Macaca fascicularis: one gene and its partners. The protein of the gene in region 1 purifies or fractionates together with the protein of each later gene. This does not show direct contact. Links are inferred from orthologs where the notes say so. Each region holds a gene or a part of one and is shown in the gene's direction. Other genes may lie near its edges.

The links.
Region 2: the proteins of CUL4B (region 1) and COPS4 purify together in Homo sapiens (affinity purification with mass spectrometry; 9 studies listed by BioGRID and IntAct, with this or other methods). This does not show direct contact. The link is inferred for Macaca fascicularis from reciprocal best matches to the Homo sapiens genes CUL4B and COPS4.
Region 3: the proteins of CUL4B (region 1) and DET1 purify together in Homo sapiens (affinity purification with mass spectrometry; 3 studies listed by BioGRID and IntAct, counting the BioPlex papers as one, with this or other methods). This does not show direct contact. The link is inferred for Macaca fascicularis from reciprocal best matches to the Homo sapiens genes CUL4B and DET1.

What each region holds. Positions count from the first base shown.
Region 1 is NC_088395.1:126,835,036-126,840,433, reverse strand, and holds the start of CUL4B (cullin-4B), read left to right. Parts: upstream 1-1,875; 5' UTR 1,876-1,926; coding exon 1,927-1,954; intron 1,955-2,703; coding exon 2,704-3,246; intron 3,247-3,350; exon of another isoform or gene 3,351-3,529; coding exon of another isoform or gene 3,530-3,551; intron 3,552-5,293; coding exon 5,294-5,398.
Region 2 is NC_088379.1:50,803,663-50,809,060, reverse strand, and holds the start of COPS4 (COP9 signalosome complex subunit 4), read left to right. Parts: upstream 1-2,672; 5' UTR 2,673-2,725; coding exon 2,726-2,799; intron 2,800-5,398. UniProt on the Homo sapiens protein: Component of the COP9 signalosome complex (CSN), a complex involved in various cellular and developmental processes.
Region 3 is NC_088381.1:72,982,391-72,987,688, reverse strand, and holds part of DET1 (DET1 homolog), read left to right. Parts: intron 1-1,187; coding exon 1,188-2,280; intron 2,281-5,298. UniProt on the Homo sapiens protein: Component of the E3 ubiquitin ligase DCX DET1-COP1 complex, which is required for ubiquitination and subsequent degradation of target proteins. The complex is involved in JUN ubiquitination and degradation.

The sequences.
Region 1 (5,398 bases):
CCAAGATTACACCACTGCACTCCAGCCTGGGCGACACAGCAAGATTCTGTCTCCAAAACCAAACCAAACCAAACCAAAAAACCTATGTGGTATATTCAAAACAGATAGGAGTGCTTCCATCTGTCCCTTTTCAGGCCCCTGTCTCCCTTCTCAGGGGCCTTGGGTTCTAAGTTCCATTAGAGCCTTGCTTTCAGCAGGCTGTCATCAAATAGCAATGATATCGTTTAATAATGCCAAAGGTTGATTTGCATTTTAATCAGGGACTTTTCAAGACACAAAAACAAGTAGGCCTGTTTAAACAAAGTTAGAAAGTTATTTATTTGCAGGGTTCTGATTCACCTATCACAAGCTATACCATACAAGCTGCTTTTACTCCACTCACAATCCTGTCACTCCTGGTTTGTAAAAGCTCTGCTTGCTGGATTGTCTCCCTGCTATCTATGATTGCCTACAGAGTAGACTCCAAATTCTTGGCTTGGTGTGCCAGGCCCTTTTGAGCCTCATCTTCCTTACTCCCAGCTAGACATCCTACTTCCCAGCCTCACTGCACTTTCCATGTTTCCATAAACAGGCCAGGCCCTTTCACTCCTTGCTTTGCCCTTGTTTCCATTCCCCAAAATGCCTTTCATCCTGTTCCCTCTTGTCTTTTTGGCAACTCCCACTTTGAGGCACAGCATAAACACAATCTCTGTAAAACTATTCCTATTCCAGATTTCCCCCAAATTTCTTGTTTTGCCTCTTCTGACAGCACTTTGTATATCTGTCATAGTATTGTTATGGAAATTAGTTTTGAAACTATCTTCCCTTACTGGCTTCTCAAGGGCAGAGACCTTGCATAGTGTCTTACCATACATGCTCACTGAATGCTTTTGCAGTTAGAATGATCAACAGGTTGGCAAATTTAGTTCTATTTGACATTGTGTTACCTCCCTCTGAGAATGCCCCAAGGTTAAGTAAAAACTCCCAACAGGGAATTTACAAGGTTGATTGTTGCTAATTTAACTAAATTTAAAGATTTTTAAAATCAGTCATCAAATGTAAAGCGGGGGCTCATGAAACACATTGGTAGAAAACATTAACTTTTGCCAATATTGTTCTAAAATGTCTCCTTTGGGACAGCGTGTAAGCTGAGATTTGGCAAAAGAAGGAAGTGGGTCTTAGCTTTGGTCTATAAATTAGAGTTAAGGACTGATAGAGTGGGGGTTAGGACGGTCCTGGGCACAGTGCTCAGTGGGTGAGTGGTTAGTTACCTTTCTATTTCTTCGCCTTAGAATACACCCTTAATTTGGCCAGCCAGCTTAGAAAATGCTCCTGGTAGGAAGATAAAAGGATTTACAGCTACATGAAAGAGAAAGGCATCAAAACTCAGGCCTTATTCAGCCTTGGGTCTGTGGTGCCTTGAGATAAAAGAGAAACAATTTATAGCGGCACCGAATCAAAAAGTCCTTTTCTTCCTATCTTAGCTCGTTTTCTTCTCCTTTCCTATCTTAACATCGGGACATTCCTCTCCAGTAACGGGCATAATAGCATGATTATGTTTTCCTCTATTTAGGGTTACTCCCCTAGCCTTGCAACCACTCCTTATTCCTTTATCTCTTTCAAAGTTTCCATTCTCCCGGACCTTTACATTTTATTTCGTCCCTCCCTCTCTCCTCCTCTTCCTCCTCCTCCGTTTTCCCAGCTAGCTCACTCCGCCCCTCGCCGTCACTACCTTCCCTCCCCGAGGCTCCTTCCCGCTCCTCCCCGTTCCTCCCGCCACCCCCCCCCCACCCCCTCGCCTTCAGAAAGCTCCAATCAGGAGCTCCGAAGGTGTCTCGAAGGCCCGCCCCCTCCTCCCATCCACTTTTCTTCCCCCCAATTTCTCCCTCCCCCCTTCCCCCCCCAACTCAAGTCCTGCGGGCCTGGGGGCTTCGGGATCTGGGCGCTATGAAAAGTGTCTGCCCAGTCACTTCCGGTAAGGGCGCTGCGGCGCGGAGCTTCCCGCGGGACCGTTAAGGAGCGAGTGGGAGTCCCCGGTGGGCCAGGGAAGGAAGGCGCTGCCAGGAAGGGGGAGCGCGAAGGAGAGCGGGAGCCGGAGCGAACTAACGCGAGCGTCTGGGGCACTTTAGCCGCCCCTTCCCAGCCGCCCCCTCACGCGCGAGCTCACCCGCCCCCCGGGCGGCTGCAGCGCTTCCCTCACCCCCAATCCCTGAGGTTGGCACCGCCCCTCCCTCGGTGCCGCGTGACCGGAAATGGCGCCATCTTTAGCCTCTTGTGCTATTGACAATAACAAGCCCTGGTTCTTTCCCCCTCCCCCTTTCCCCCAACCACAGCCTCTCCCCTCCCAGGGAGAGGGAGAAAAGGAGGAGGAGCTGCAGCCTCACAGACTCGCTGAGTCGCTCCTGCAGAAAGGGGGGGAGAGAGATCGAAAAGCAGGGGAGGGGGACGGCACGGCCGTTTACCTGTCTGCCTCCTCATTCGCTCTCCCCCCTCGTTCTGCTCACTCCTGGTGTCAGCCTATCCGCCTTCCCAAACCCTCCCATTCCCCCGGTGTAGCCCCCCCCGCCTTCACTTTCCTTCTCGTCCTCTGTGTTTCTCCTCTCTTCTTTCTTCCCTTCCCCCTCTAGCATTGCCACCTTCTCTCCTACACGCACGCAGGCATATAAACGTAGGTTTTTGATGCTCCTCTGCCTGTTGACCCCGCTATTTTCATGTTTCCAACAGGTTTTTCTTCCCCCAGTCCCTCAGCTGCTGCTGCTGCTCAGGAGGTCAGATCTGCCACTGATGGTAATACCAGCACCACTCCGCCCACCTCTGCCAAGAAGAGAAAGTTAAACAGCAGCAGCAGTAGCAGCAGTAACAGTAGTAACGAGAGAGAAGACTTTGATTCCACCTCTTCCTCCTCTTCCACTCCTCCTTTACAACCCAGGGATTCGGCATCCCCTTCAACCTCGTCCTTCTGCCTGGGGGTTTCAGTGGCTGCTTCCAGCCACGTACCGATACAGAAGAAGCTGCGTTTTGAAGACACCCTGGAGTTTGTAGGGTTTGATGCGAAGATGGCTGAGGAATCCTCCTCCTCCTCCTCCTCATCTTCACCAACTGCTGCAACATCTCAGCAGCAGCAACTTAAAAATAAGAGTATATTAATCTCTTCTGTGGCTTCGGTGCATCATGCAAACGGCCTAGCCAAATCTTCTACCACCGTCTCTAGCTTTGCTAACAGCAAGCCTGGCTCTGCTAAGAAGTTAGTGATCAAGAACTTTAAAGGTAACCAAGGCCAAAATCCATAATCACCTAATAAGGATTTGACACTCGAGGGGTCACGTGCTCTATTTATGTTAATATATTAAACAGTTTGGAGGTGGCCTAATGTTTTATGCATAATCAATGAGGTGGAGGGGAGGTCCTTTTTTGGTGGAGGGTTCATTTTCCGGGGGTGGTTAGGATCCTTGTGCTGAAGCATACACCGGGTGTTTCTGTGCAGTATTTTGAGGTTTTTTTTCAGCCTATTGTATTTAATCTGTTATTCCTTATAACACTGACAATCGGTATGATTGATCCGGATTTTACAGGTGAGAAATTTGTATTCTAAAGAGGTTTATTTATTTCAGGTGCATAGCGAGCCTTGGCACTGCTGGGATTTTTATTTTTATGCTTCAGTAGGCCACATTATCCAATGCCTAGAAATGCAGGTAGCAATAGTGATCTTTTTGTGCTCAAATAATATTTATAATTAGATTTACACTGTATTCATGAAACTCATTTGGAAGCAATATTAGAAGAAAAATTTATGTTCTCTGTATTTCTTTCCAAAGGTAGGGTTTGAAAGTGAAAAACATTGTGTATACACAGAAGTAGTAAGTCTGTGTACCACTAGTCTAAAGATAGGAACAATTACTACATCTATTTTTTCCATCACTAAAATGGATTTTAAAGTATCGACTTGCAGCTTTTAGGAAAATTTGTTCAGACCGTGTTTGAGATATGTGAGGAGAGTATTATGAATGCATTGATGCAAATATAAAATAAGCAATTTTTAAAACTGTATTTGAGCTGAATTTTTATCTGTTGAATGTGTTTCTGTTTTTCTGACTGACTTTTCAACACCCTTAACTGCCAGGTAATCAGTGCTACAGTGTTTATTAAATAGGGAAGTAAATGAATGAACTTAAGTAATATTTATGAGATAAGTGCTTTGTGGCTGAATATTAGTATTGAGAAGATCAGGTTCTCTATGCTTGTGTTTTTAACATTGAGTGGAAATCAGGAATGTGCTCTATTTTGTCTCAAGCAGAGGGCTATGGTGTTGTCTATTTTTAACTCTTTCTTTTTTATATCACTACCTTCCCATACCCAGGTTCTCAGTTTATGATTTAATAGTAGAGCTTTCTGAAGTCAATATGAATTGTAATTGACTAACGTGTTCATTATTTCACTTAAAAATATATGTATTTTTATAGCCAAATATTTTTAAATGAGTTATGATCCTGGTTGCATTTTCAAATTGGTTTCAGAGATTTTTTTCTCTCCCTCCTAAGATAAAAGCATATTAAGGCATTTGGATGTTCTAATTAAAACTTTTTTCCCCACACTCATTGCTAGTCAGTGAAGTTTAAAGCCTAGAGTAAGGTGTTTCTTTCTATTCTGAAAATGCAACATGATTTCTGGAGTCATTTGGATGTTTCAATCTTTAAAAATTTCACTCTGCTCATAAATGTAGTTTAAAACTACATGGAGTTAAGATATTTCCATTTCTATAGATGCTGCATAAATTTGGGGGTCAAACAGACCTGGATTAGAATCCCAGCTTTGCCATTGACTAGCTATGATGACCTTGGGCAAGCTTACTAAATGAGTTCCAGCCTCAGTTTCCTCGGTTGTAAAATAGATTCCTCAGGGTATTGTTGGGAAGATTAAGAGGTTTATAAAGTACCTTGCACATAGGCAGTATTTTAAATCTCAGGTTAAAAATTCATGTCGACTTAGGTTTTACACATGATGAAGTAAGATCAGGATTGTTGTTTTTTATGGTCATTCTTGAATTTTTATTTTTTTGAAGCAATACAATCAATAGGAGAAAAACCTCACCTTCAATTTTAATAGGTGAGTCAAAATGACTTAAATAGTATTATGACATTTCAAATTTTATTCTTTATATTAAGCTTAAATACAGTGGTTACTTTAATGATTAGGTGTGATAGTTATAAAGATCATAATTTACCCTAAAAATAGAGTAATGCTGTTGTATTTTATTGATCTTTGGTTACTGTATCTGACATGGTATTCTGATACCAACCTTTTACATATCATCTAGATAAGCCTAAATTACCAGAAAACTACACAGATGAAACCTGGCAAAAACTGAAAGAAGCAGTGGAAGCTATTCAGAATAGTACTTCAATTAAGTACAATTTAGAAG
Region 2 (5,398 bases), on another chromosome or scaffold:
TCTTCTTTATAAATTACCCAGTCTCAGGGAGTTCTTTATAGCAATGTGAGAACAGACTAATATACATTCTTTTGTTATTTATTTTATTTTTTTTGAGATGGAGTTTCACTCTGCCACCCAGCTGGAGTACAGTGGCGCGATCTCGGCTCACTGCCTCCTGTGTTCAAGTGATTCTCCTGCCTCAGCCTCCCAAGTAGCTGGGACTACAGGCACCCGCCACCACGCCCGGTTATTTTTTCGTGTTTTTAATAGAGACAGAGTTTCACCATGTTGACCAGGCTGGTCTCGAACTCCTGACTTCAGGTGATCTGCCTGCCTTGGCCTCCTAAAGTGGTGGGATTACAGGCTTGAGCCACCACGCCTGCCTGAGAACAGACTAATACACATTCTTAAAAGAGATTCCTTCTTTAGGTATTCTTCTCTTTCTCTTTCCCATTAGAGGGAATATGCCATTTATCACACATCAAGATGGCAAAACTCCAAAAGTTTGACAGACTTTGTAAGCAAGCCTGTAGGAAACTGTACCCCTATATATTTCTGGTAGGAAGGCAAAATGATACCATTCCTACAAAGTACAATTTGGCAGGATCTACCAAGATTGTATGTCTATCCTTTGCCTCATTTCTGGTAATGTTTTCTACCTGTACATATATAATGTATGTAAAGGTTATTCATCGCAGGATTGATTAAAAATAACTTGTGTCCTATAAGGATTAAATAAACTAAGACATACCCTTGCTATGTAATATCTTCTAGCTCTAAAAAGAGTGATTTTGAAAGACTGGACAGCTGGTAAGATGTCCAGCTGTCTTAGTCTGTTTTCTGTTGCTTATACCAGAATACCTGAAACTGGGTAATTTATAAAGAAAAGGAATTTATATCTTACAGTTATGAAGGCCAAGAAGTCTAAGGTCAAGCGACCACATCTAGTGAGACCCTTCTTGCTGGTCAAGACTTGCTAGAGTTCAGAAGCAGCACAGGGTATCACATGGCAACGGAGTGACCTTCCTAACATGCTAGCTCAGGTCTCTTCCTCTTCTAATAAAGCCACATGTTCTCTCCCATGATAACCCATTAATCCACAAATGGATCAATTCCTCAGGGTTTTGTCCTCATGATCCAATCATCTATTTAAGACCCACCTCTAAATGTTGCCACATTAAAGATTAAGTTTCAACATGAGTTGTTTGTTTTCTTTTTCATTTAATTTTAATTTTTATTTTTTGAGATGGAGTCTTGCCTTTTTTTTTTTGAGACGGAGTTTCGCCCTTGTTGCCCAGGCTGGAGTGCAATGGTGCAGTCTTGGCTCAACGCGACCTTCGCCTCCCAGGTTCAAGTGATTCTCCTGCCTCAGTCTCCTGAGTAACTGGAATTACAGGTATGTGCCACTACGCCTGGCTAATTTTTGTATTTTTAGTTGAGACGGGGTTTCTCCATGTTGTTCAGGCTGGTCTCGAACTCCCAACCTCAGATGATCCGTCCGCCTCGGCCTCCCAAAGTGCTGGGATTACAGACGTGAGCCACGGCACCCAGCCCTCAACTTGCGTTTTGGAGAAGACAATTATTTCAAACCACAGTACCAGGAAAAGTGCAAAAAACAAAACAAAACAAAACAAAACAAAACAACAACAACAACAAAAAACAAAGCAGAACAATTATGTGGTGTTACTTTTTGTGAAAGGAGAGGTAAAATTTTATATTTATTAATATTTGCTTGTATTTGCAGAAATTCCATAAGAATACATGAGTATTGAATATCATATAAACGCAGGCGACCATATAATCTTCCATTGAAATGCAACCGTTTCTAGAATGAAAGGGGGGATGTTATTTTAATTAATTAATTAATTTATTTATTTAGAGACGGAGTCTTGCTCTATCGCCCAGGCAGGAGCGCAGTGGCGCAATCTCGGGTCACTGCAAGTTCCGCCTCCCGGGTTTTACGCCATTCTACAGCCTCAGCCTCCCGAGTAGCTGGGGCTACAGGCGTGCACCACCTACGCCCAGCTAATTTTTTTGTATTTTTAGTAGACGGGGTTTCACCGTGTTTAGCCAGGATGGTCTCGATCTCCTGACCTCGTGATCCGCCCGCCTCGGCCTCCCAAAGTGCTGGGATTACAGGCGTGAGCCACCGCGCCCGGCCGCAAGGGGGGATGTTATTAATCACTACTCCAGGACGACAGAGGGAAAATGGCTTTGTACTGGACAAACTGGAATATCTGATCAACCTTTATAAAGTGCATGGAGTGGGAGGAGGAATGGGGACTTTTTAATTGTATTTCTAAAAAGTATCGTCTGTGGTGAATCAGAAACAAAACTCGTTCTTTACCACAGGCAGTTTAAGCGCTGCCTGAAAGACCTAAGGACGGTAAACCACAGACATGAGACATGGAACTTTGCGAAAACGCAGTCGTTTTATGTACCGGGTACTTATTGGAGTTACACTAGAGACTCACTCCTGGAGTTCATCAGCCAATCCAAAGTCCGAGCGTGAGAGCCAGAGCCTGTAGGAGAGGGCTGGGCAGGCCTCAGACCTGAGGAGTGGAGCCCCGCATCACTCAACCCTGAGGGCGGAGCTAGCCCAGGCTCCCACACCCGACGCTCTGGCCCACACAGACGCTACTCTGTAGCATCTCAGGTTCCCTCTGGCTGCACTCTGGAGGACCACACTCGTTTTCTTTTTGGCTGCCAGAGGCCCCGCATCCACCGCTGAGCTGGGAGAAAGATGGCGGCAGCCGTGCGACAGGATTTGGCCCAGCTCATGAATTCGAGCGGCTCTCATAAAGATCTGGCTGGCAAGTGAGTATTTCCCAGCAACGCGGGAGTACAGAGGTGGGGAAAGAAAGCCACAGCCTTAATCTCCTTAGGTTGGCCACGACTCTTGGGCGTGAAGCTAGGAACCGGCCTGACGACCAAGGGGGCGGGCCTGAGGTCGGCTAGGGAGGCAAATGTTGGGAGAAGCAGAGAGCTGGAGGGGACCTTGTGCAGGGGCCTTCGAGGCCATAGACTTGGGATGACTGTCAACTTGTTCAGTTATTGATAGAATCCCTCTGGTCCCTTAGGATTTTGGAAGAGCGGTCTGACAGACGACTGCTACCCTGGCCTTAGTAGCCTTCCCTGGTACCTCTTCCTATCGCTGGCCGGCCTCACACCGAATCTGGCCTCTCGTTGGACCTTCCTCCTCCTTTTTTTGATTCAGAGAAATGTATATTCTGGGGCCTTGATGGTGTGTTTTTCGGGGAGATGGCTTCTTGGGGCTGGCTGAGACTGAGGAGGTATGGCCGCTGTCATGTCGTCCAGACCACTCAGACTGTCTTCTGTGGGTCCTTGTGTTTCGGGTATTTTCTCCGCCACCAACTCTGAAGGCACATAGGCGGAATGTGCTCATATCGCGGATCAGGATGTCTAGAGTAGTGATGTTTGCAGCAATCTGAATTTTGTCGAAATTCATATAGAATGCTTAGGTTCACTCCAAGTTAAAATGTGTGACGTGCCTGTTGTGCAAGCAGTTGTTCAACAGTATTAAGCATAGGTAGGTAGACGTATATTGTTCATTTTCTCTTTGTAGATGTCACAGCACTGATCTTTTGTAATGAACTTAAAGTATGCCTCTCTAGGCCGGGTGCAGAGAGGCTGAGGTGGGAGGATCACTTGAGGCCAGGAGTTCTAGACTAGCCTGGGCAACATAGTGAGACCCCCGTCTCCATAAATAAATAAGTAAATAAAGTATGCCTCTCAAGTTGATCTTAATGTTTACATCCTGACAGCTGAAATCACTTTATGTATGTTAATGGGATACACCAGCTCTAACCTGGTCATCGAAATTCTGACTGTTTTAAGTAGGCTAGGCTGCCTTTTCTCTGGTGGTAAATGTAATCTACTTTTATCAGTGGGAAATTCAGCCGTATATTTTGGGCGTAACTACTTTGTGCTGCATTTTCCCATTTAGGAAAATGAAGATGGTAATAGGACATATTCTTGTCTGAGATTATCTGAAGACAAGATGAGTATCTGTGTGCATATATACTTACCACACTTATATCACCTAGAACAGTACCTGACATATAGAAAGTGCCGCAAGATTGTTGTTACTATCACTAAGCTGTCAGTAATATATATTCACTTATTGTATGGGTTGGAAACAAATATGTCTTCATGGCTTAATCCTTTTTGCTTGTAATTTTGTAGATATGGATGAAAGTAAAAGCAGCTTATATTTTTCCCCCATGCTTCCTTTACTTTTTATTTTGTAAAAGAAAAATAAGTGCATTAGTTATCAGAAGAAATAGAGCTTTTCATGTATTTGGAGAGTTCTGAAACTTAAGTATTTACTTTTTCAGGTCTGAATTGGAGATAAACAATAGTATTTATAGGGTACTTCAGTTATCTGTTGCTTTGTAACCAAAAACTTACCAGTGTAAAACAACTGTGATTTCTCAGGATTCTATGGATTGACTGGACAGCTCTTCTGGTCTTGTCTGGGCTCACTCATGCAGATATAGTCAGCTGGCAACTCACCTGGGGCTGGACTCACATGCATATCTTGCTCTTGGCAGGATCTGTCTCTCTCTGCACATAGTCTCTCATTCATTAGTTTAGCTTGGGCTTTCTTAGGTGGCTATGAGAGGGGAAGTCACAAGACCTCTTAAGGATAGCCTAGAAAGTCTCATATCAATTCTCTAGTACTGGTAAAAGTAAATCAGAAGACCAGCCCAGATTCAAGGGGAGGGGAAATGGAGCCTACTACTGCCTCTTTAGTGACAAAGTTACATTGCAAAGGAGCCTGGACAGAGGGAGACATGATTCATTGGAAGCCATTACTGTAGCAATCTACCACATGGTGTTGTGAAGATTAAATGAAATAATGTGCTTGATAACTGATAGCCAGTGCTGTGTTAGCCAGCAACTCCTTCAGAGCTGCTTTCTGAGAAAAGTCTTGGGCTTGCTTGCAGTTCCTATCTGAGCAAGAAAGTATCAGGATATTTATCCTTATAACAACATCAGTTCTACCAGCTACATGCTTTAAGAGAAATACCCTTGAAATATCAGTTTTTTTTTTTAATGTATTTTTTCTTGTATGTACTTTTAATGAAGGTTTTTGGGGATTTTTTAGGAGCTGAGAAACAAAGGATTCCATATTAAAGAATAATGGAGTACATTGTTTCTAAAATATCAATACTGTGTGTTCCCAGCAATTGGGATATCTATAACAACAGTTGCTCAATACATGTGGTTGAATTAATGAATAGCTAGAAAGGGGCAGAGCTTGTATTTGAACCCAGGTTCATCACTCTAAAAAGCTCATTTTAAACCTACCAGACTATGCTCGTTTTCTTGTTAAAAACTCAATTAGAAATGCTTTCCCATAACTGTGGATTAACACAGCTGTCTAAAGTTT
Region 3 (5,298 bases), on another chromosome or scaffold:
CTTGGTTGCCTATGCCTTTTGTGTCTTATCTAAGAAATCACTGCCAGGTCTGATGTCATGAAGCTTTCCTCCTGTATTTTCTTCTAGTAGTTTTATAGTTATGGGTCTTATATTTATAAAGGTCCTTGACCTATTTTGGGTTAATTTTTGTATAGGGTGTAAGATAGGGTCCGACTTCATTCTTTTGCATGTGGCTATTCAGTTTTCCCAACACCATTTGCTGAAGTGACTATCCTTTTTCTATTGAGTAGTAGTAGTACCTTATCAAAGATTGTTTAACCATGTATGCCAGAGTTTATTTGTGGGCCATTTCATTTGTCTGTCTCTGTCTTTATCCAGTACCACACTTTTTTGATTACTGTGGTTTTGTAATATATTTTGAAATCAGGAGGCTTGAGTCCTCTTTGTTCTTTTTCAAAATTATTTTGTGTATTTGGAGGCCCTTGACATACCATATGAAGTTTAGGATGAATTTTTTATCTTTGTAAAAAGTGCTATTAGGATTTTGATAGGGTTTATATTGAATCTGTAGATTATTTTGGGTAATATGGACATCTTAACAGCCCAATAAATATTTTTTGCTGGAATGAATACACATTGAATATGATTTGTTTGTTTGTTTGTTTGAGATAGTCTCACTCTGTTGCAGTGTTGTGATCATGGCTCATTGCAGCTTCAATGATCCGAGCTTAAGCAGTCCTTCCACTTCAGCCTCTCAAGTAGCTAGAACTACAGGCATGTGCCACCATGCCTGGCTAATTTTTCTATTTTTTTTGTAGAGACGGGGTTTTGCCATGTTTTCCAGGCTGGCCTTGAACTAGTGAGCTCAAGTGATCCACTTGCTTCGGTCTCCCAAAGTGTTGGGATTACAGGCATGAGCCACCGTGCCTGGCTGAATGTGTCTTATACTGTTCAAATTTGCAGTTGTAGGTTTTTTTCTGTTGAACATTCCCAACAGCTGAGCATACTTGGAAGGTGTTCCTAGTGAACTAGATCCTTCCCTTAGACCTGTTTCTAGACTTAGAAATGTTAGGACCACTTAAAGGGAAGCAGTAATTCCAGTCACTGTCATCCTGGGAGCTCCTAGGTTCAGGATATAAGAAGAGAAATCTGTTTGACTTGTATATATTTATATTTTGGTAAATTTTGTTTCATTTTCTTGACTTCTGCTTTACTTTTCTGTTTAGAGATGTGATAATGGATCATCATGTTTCTACCATCAGGCCTCGAAGAATCCAAAACCAAAATGTCATTCACCGCTTGGAGCGCCGGCGGATCAGTTCAGGCAAGGCAGGTACCCACTGGCACCAAGTCCGAGTGTTCCATCAGAATGTCTTCCCCAACTTCACAGTTGTCAACGTTGAAAAGCCTCCTTGTTTTTTGCGTAAATTCTCACCTGACGGACGCTACTTTATTGCTTTTTCTTCAGACCAGACATCTCTTGAAATCTATGAGTACCAGGGCTGCCAGGCAGCAGAGGACCTACTGCAGGGATATGAAGGAGAAATCCTGTCCAATGGCAATGACCAGCGGTCAGTGAATATCCGGGGCCGGCTCTTTGAACGCTTTTTTGTCCTGCTGCACATTACCAATGTTGCAGCCAATGGTGAGCACCTGAACCGGGAGTGTAGTCTCTTCACTGATGACTGCCGCTGTGTCATCGTGGGCTCAGCTGCCTACCTCCCGGATGAGCCTCACCCTCCATTTTTTGAGGTATATCGGAACAGTGAATCAGTGACCCCCAACCCACGGTCCCCTCTAGAAGACTATTCCCTCCACATCATTGACCTTCATACTGGCCGCTTATGTGATACACGCACATTCAAGTGTGACAAGGTGGTCTTGTCACACAACCAAGGGCTGTACTTGTACAAAAACATCCTGGCCATCTTGTCTGTGCAACAACAGACCATCCATGTCTTCCAGGTGACTCCTGAAGGCACTTTCATTGATGTGCGGACCATTGGCCGCTTTTGCTATGAGGATGACCTGCTCACTGTGTCAGCTGTTTTCCCTGAGGTACAGCGGGACAGTCAGACAGGCATGGCCAATCCCTTTAGGGATCCTTTCATCAATTCCCTCAAACACCGGTTGCTGGTGTATTTGTGGCGCCGGGCAGAACAGGATGGTAGCGCAATGGCCAAGAGGCGCTTCTTCCAGTATTTTGACCAACTGCGGCAGCTGCGAATGTGGAAAATGCAGCTTCTGGATGAAAACCATCTGTTTATCAAGTACACTAGTGAGGATGTAGTAACACTGCGAGTCACAGATCCATCACAGGTATGAGGTGCACTTCTGCCTTTTACTTGTCCAGTCTCCTTGACAAAATGGGAAGGTTTCTCTGTTTATAGCCCACCCCTCAGAAATAGACATTTCACGTAGTCTGAGTTGATATCCTAGGGCCCAAACTTAAAATCAGCTCCATTTTTCTCTGGTCATATGTATTTATCTGGACAAATGGAAGCTAAAGTTCAAGTCATTGACAGGAAGATAGTCAACTCTGATTACTACCCTAACTCTTCTGCAGAGCATTTTCGGTACTCATAAGATGGAAGCCCAAATGCTACAAGGTCAAGGTTTGGACTACTTATGGATAACCTCTCTTGATTTTGTAAGATTGTGCTTATTGGTCTGGCCGTTTTAGTAATGGCAATGAGAATGAGTATACGATACAAAAAAGAAAATTCTCTAAGTAACCCCACTTTCGTCCTTAAATGGTTCATAATTTACTTCTCCGTAAAGTCCTATTTATAAGGTAACTAACAGGTGCACTCATTTGGCGGAATTAAGTTCTGTGACTTTACCCTGACCTTGCCCACATGCTGGGACATAGCTTGTAGAGCAGTGAAGAGATCAAAAAGAAGCCAAAATTGATGATCCATGAGGAGAGTCATCAGGACAACAAGTCTTAAAGGTTTTTCAGTTTAGGGGAAGAATGCCTTTCTTTCAGTAAGGGGAAGAAGCATTTCCCAAAAGGGAATAAGGTGATATAAAGAGCACAGAACTGCTAAGATTTGGGGGTTGAAACACTATATTGAAATTCAGGGTAATTTGGGCATTTGTCTTTGAAAACCTCTCCGCTTCAGTGTTGACCAAGTTAGAGAACTACCTTGCTACACCTTTGTCTCCCCAGTTCTCCTGTTTGCAGGTTGTCTCCTTAGACACTAGTTTGGAAATTCAGAACAACCAGCAAATCAGTAAATCATGAAGTCAACTGAGTTTGGTATCTCTTTTTTTTTTTTTTTTTGAGACGGAGTCTCACTTTGTCACCCAGGCTGGAGTGCAGTGGCACCATCTCGGCTCACTGCAAGCTCCGCCTCCTGGGTTCACGCCATTCTCCTGCCTCAGCCTCCCGAGTAGCTGGGACTATAGGCACGCACCACCACGCCCGGCTAATTTTTTGTATTTTTAGTAGAGATGGGGTTTCACCGTGTTAGCCAGGATGGTCTCGATCTCCTGACCTCGTGATCCGCCCGCCTCGGCCTCCCAAAGTGCTGGGATTACAGGCGTGAGCCACCGCGCCCAGCTGAGTTTGGTATCTCTTACTGACCTGTAGCTGATTTCTGCCATTAACAGATTCTGTACAGGGTATCATGTCCTATAATCTCACCAGTTACCTGTGGTAAAATATCTTCTAACATTTGCCTTCTGAATTGTAGTTTATGTGTTCTAAAAAAAAGTACGGGAGTAATATGGTTAGAAATCATTTTTTGTGGATGTTTTTTCTTCCCTATCAATGATGAAGTCACCCATTGAGCAATCACAGGTGAGCATCTGGTTCGTCTTACGTATCATGGGATATTGCAGTGAAGTCCTTGACTTCTCTATCCTCCTGTTCTTTACTTCCCAGTCTGCCTTGGAGGGAAGGCTAGTAAATGTTTGAGTAATTTTATATCCATGTAATTATGAGAGATTCTGGTGAAGCCCTGATAGGATCAAAGTGTTGTCCAGGGCTATAGAAAGGACATGAATCAATCTTTATTTAGGTTTGAGCTATAATTGCCTTTTTATTTTGGAGGTAGTAAGTTGTCTGTGACTGCTGCCTTTGAGATTATTGTTTTCTTCTTTGCTAAAAGGTGGCCTAGTTGTTTCTGTTAGCTGCAATAAGTCGTAGCTAGCGACATAACTAGGGCTCTATGCTTTGCTTATACAGTTTGTAACTCTAAACCCAATCTTTCTGCCCTAGTTGTCCTCTGCACTCCTCCCCCAGTTTAATTTGATAGGTTCCAGTAAGATTAATAAGTAAAAAGTACATCCAAACACAAGGCCTTGGTAATATTATGAGTATTATTCTCAGGTTACCCTCTAGCCTCTTTAATTTACAGCCAAATTTAATTTGCAGGTGACTGCAAAAGCCATGTAACATAAGCTCTGAGAAGCACTAATTACTAGTAAAACAGGTGGGTCGAGTGGCTCCAGAAATTGGTAATTGAGATTTAAACTCAATCATAGGAGGCTGAAGTACTAATCCTAGTGGTCTGAGAACTTCTAGAGTCCTGTCAGAAGTAGATGATTCACAATGCTACATTCACTGTAACAAAAATTAGGGGTTCTTGGAACTTCCTTGTTAGGCAGAGCACAGCACTGGAAGTTTAAAGGAAGAGGGCTAGCCACCGAGGGCCCATTTAGAAAAAGCAGTAACTCTGTCACCTATGGCATTTGAATGCTTTTCAGGTTCCCCCTCTGATCTTAATTGCTACAAATCTCAAATGTATTTTACAAATGCTCTTGGCTGAAAGCACATTTATGAAGAAGAAAGTGGAAAATGCCTATCTGATTTTTCATTTGTTCAGCAGTACCTTGCTTGTATACAACTTGCCTGGGCAGTTTAGAACAAGATGTACTTAAGATGTCTCTCTGCATGTTAGAAATATTAAGAGGGAAAAATAAATACCCCTAAATTGAACTTTCAACTGTACACATACAAGAGAAAATAATTTGCCAACAGGCAGCCCCAGGCTGCAAATCACTTTCTCAGCAGGAAAGAAAATTAAATCTGGCATTTTAAGAAGTGCTTTTTATCTCAGGGTGGGTTGGGGAGCAAGTAGGGAATAAACATTTGGAAGGAAAAATACTGAATTTGCACAGTTTGAAATGAAAATTTAAAACCTTTTTATACTTATATGCTGGCCATCTCAGTAATTCTAGCAGCACAGATACAGTGGGAAATCTGGCAACGTTGAGGCTCTCAATTGATAAATCCCACGGTTGCTTCCTATTTTCCCAGAACCACTTGGAGCCATGTTTCCACCTCAGTGGTAAAGCTGAGGTGTTTGCTTGTTGTTGTTGTTATTGTTT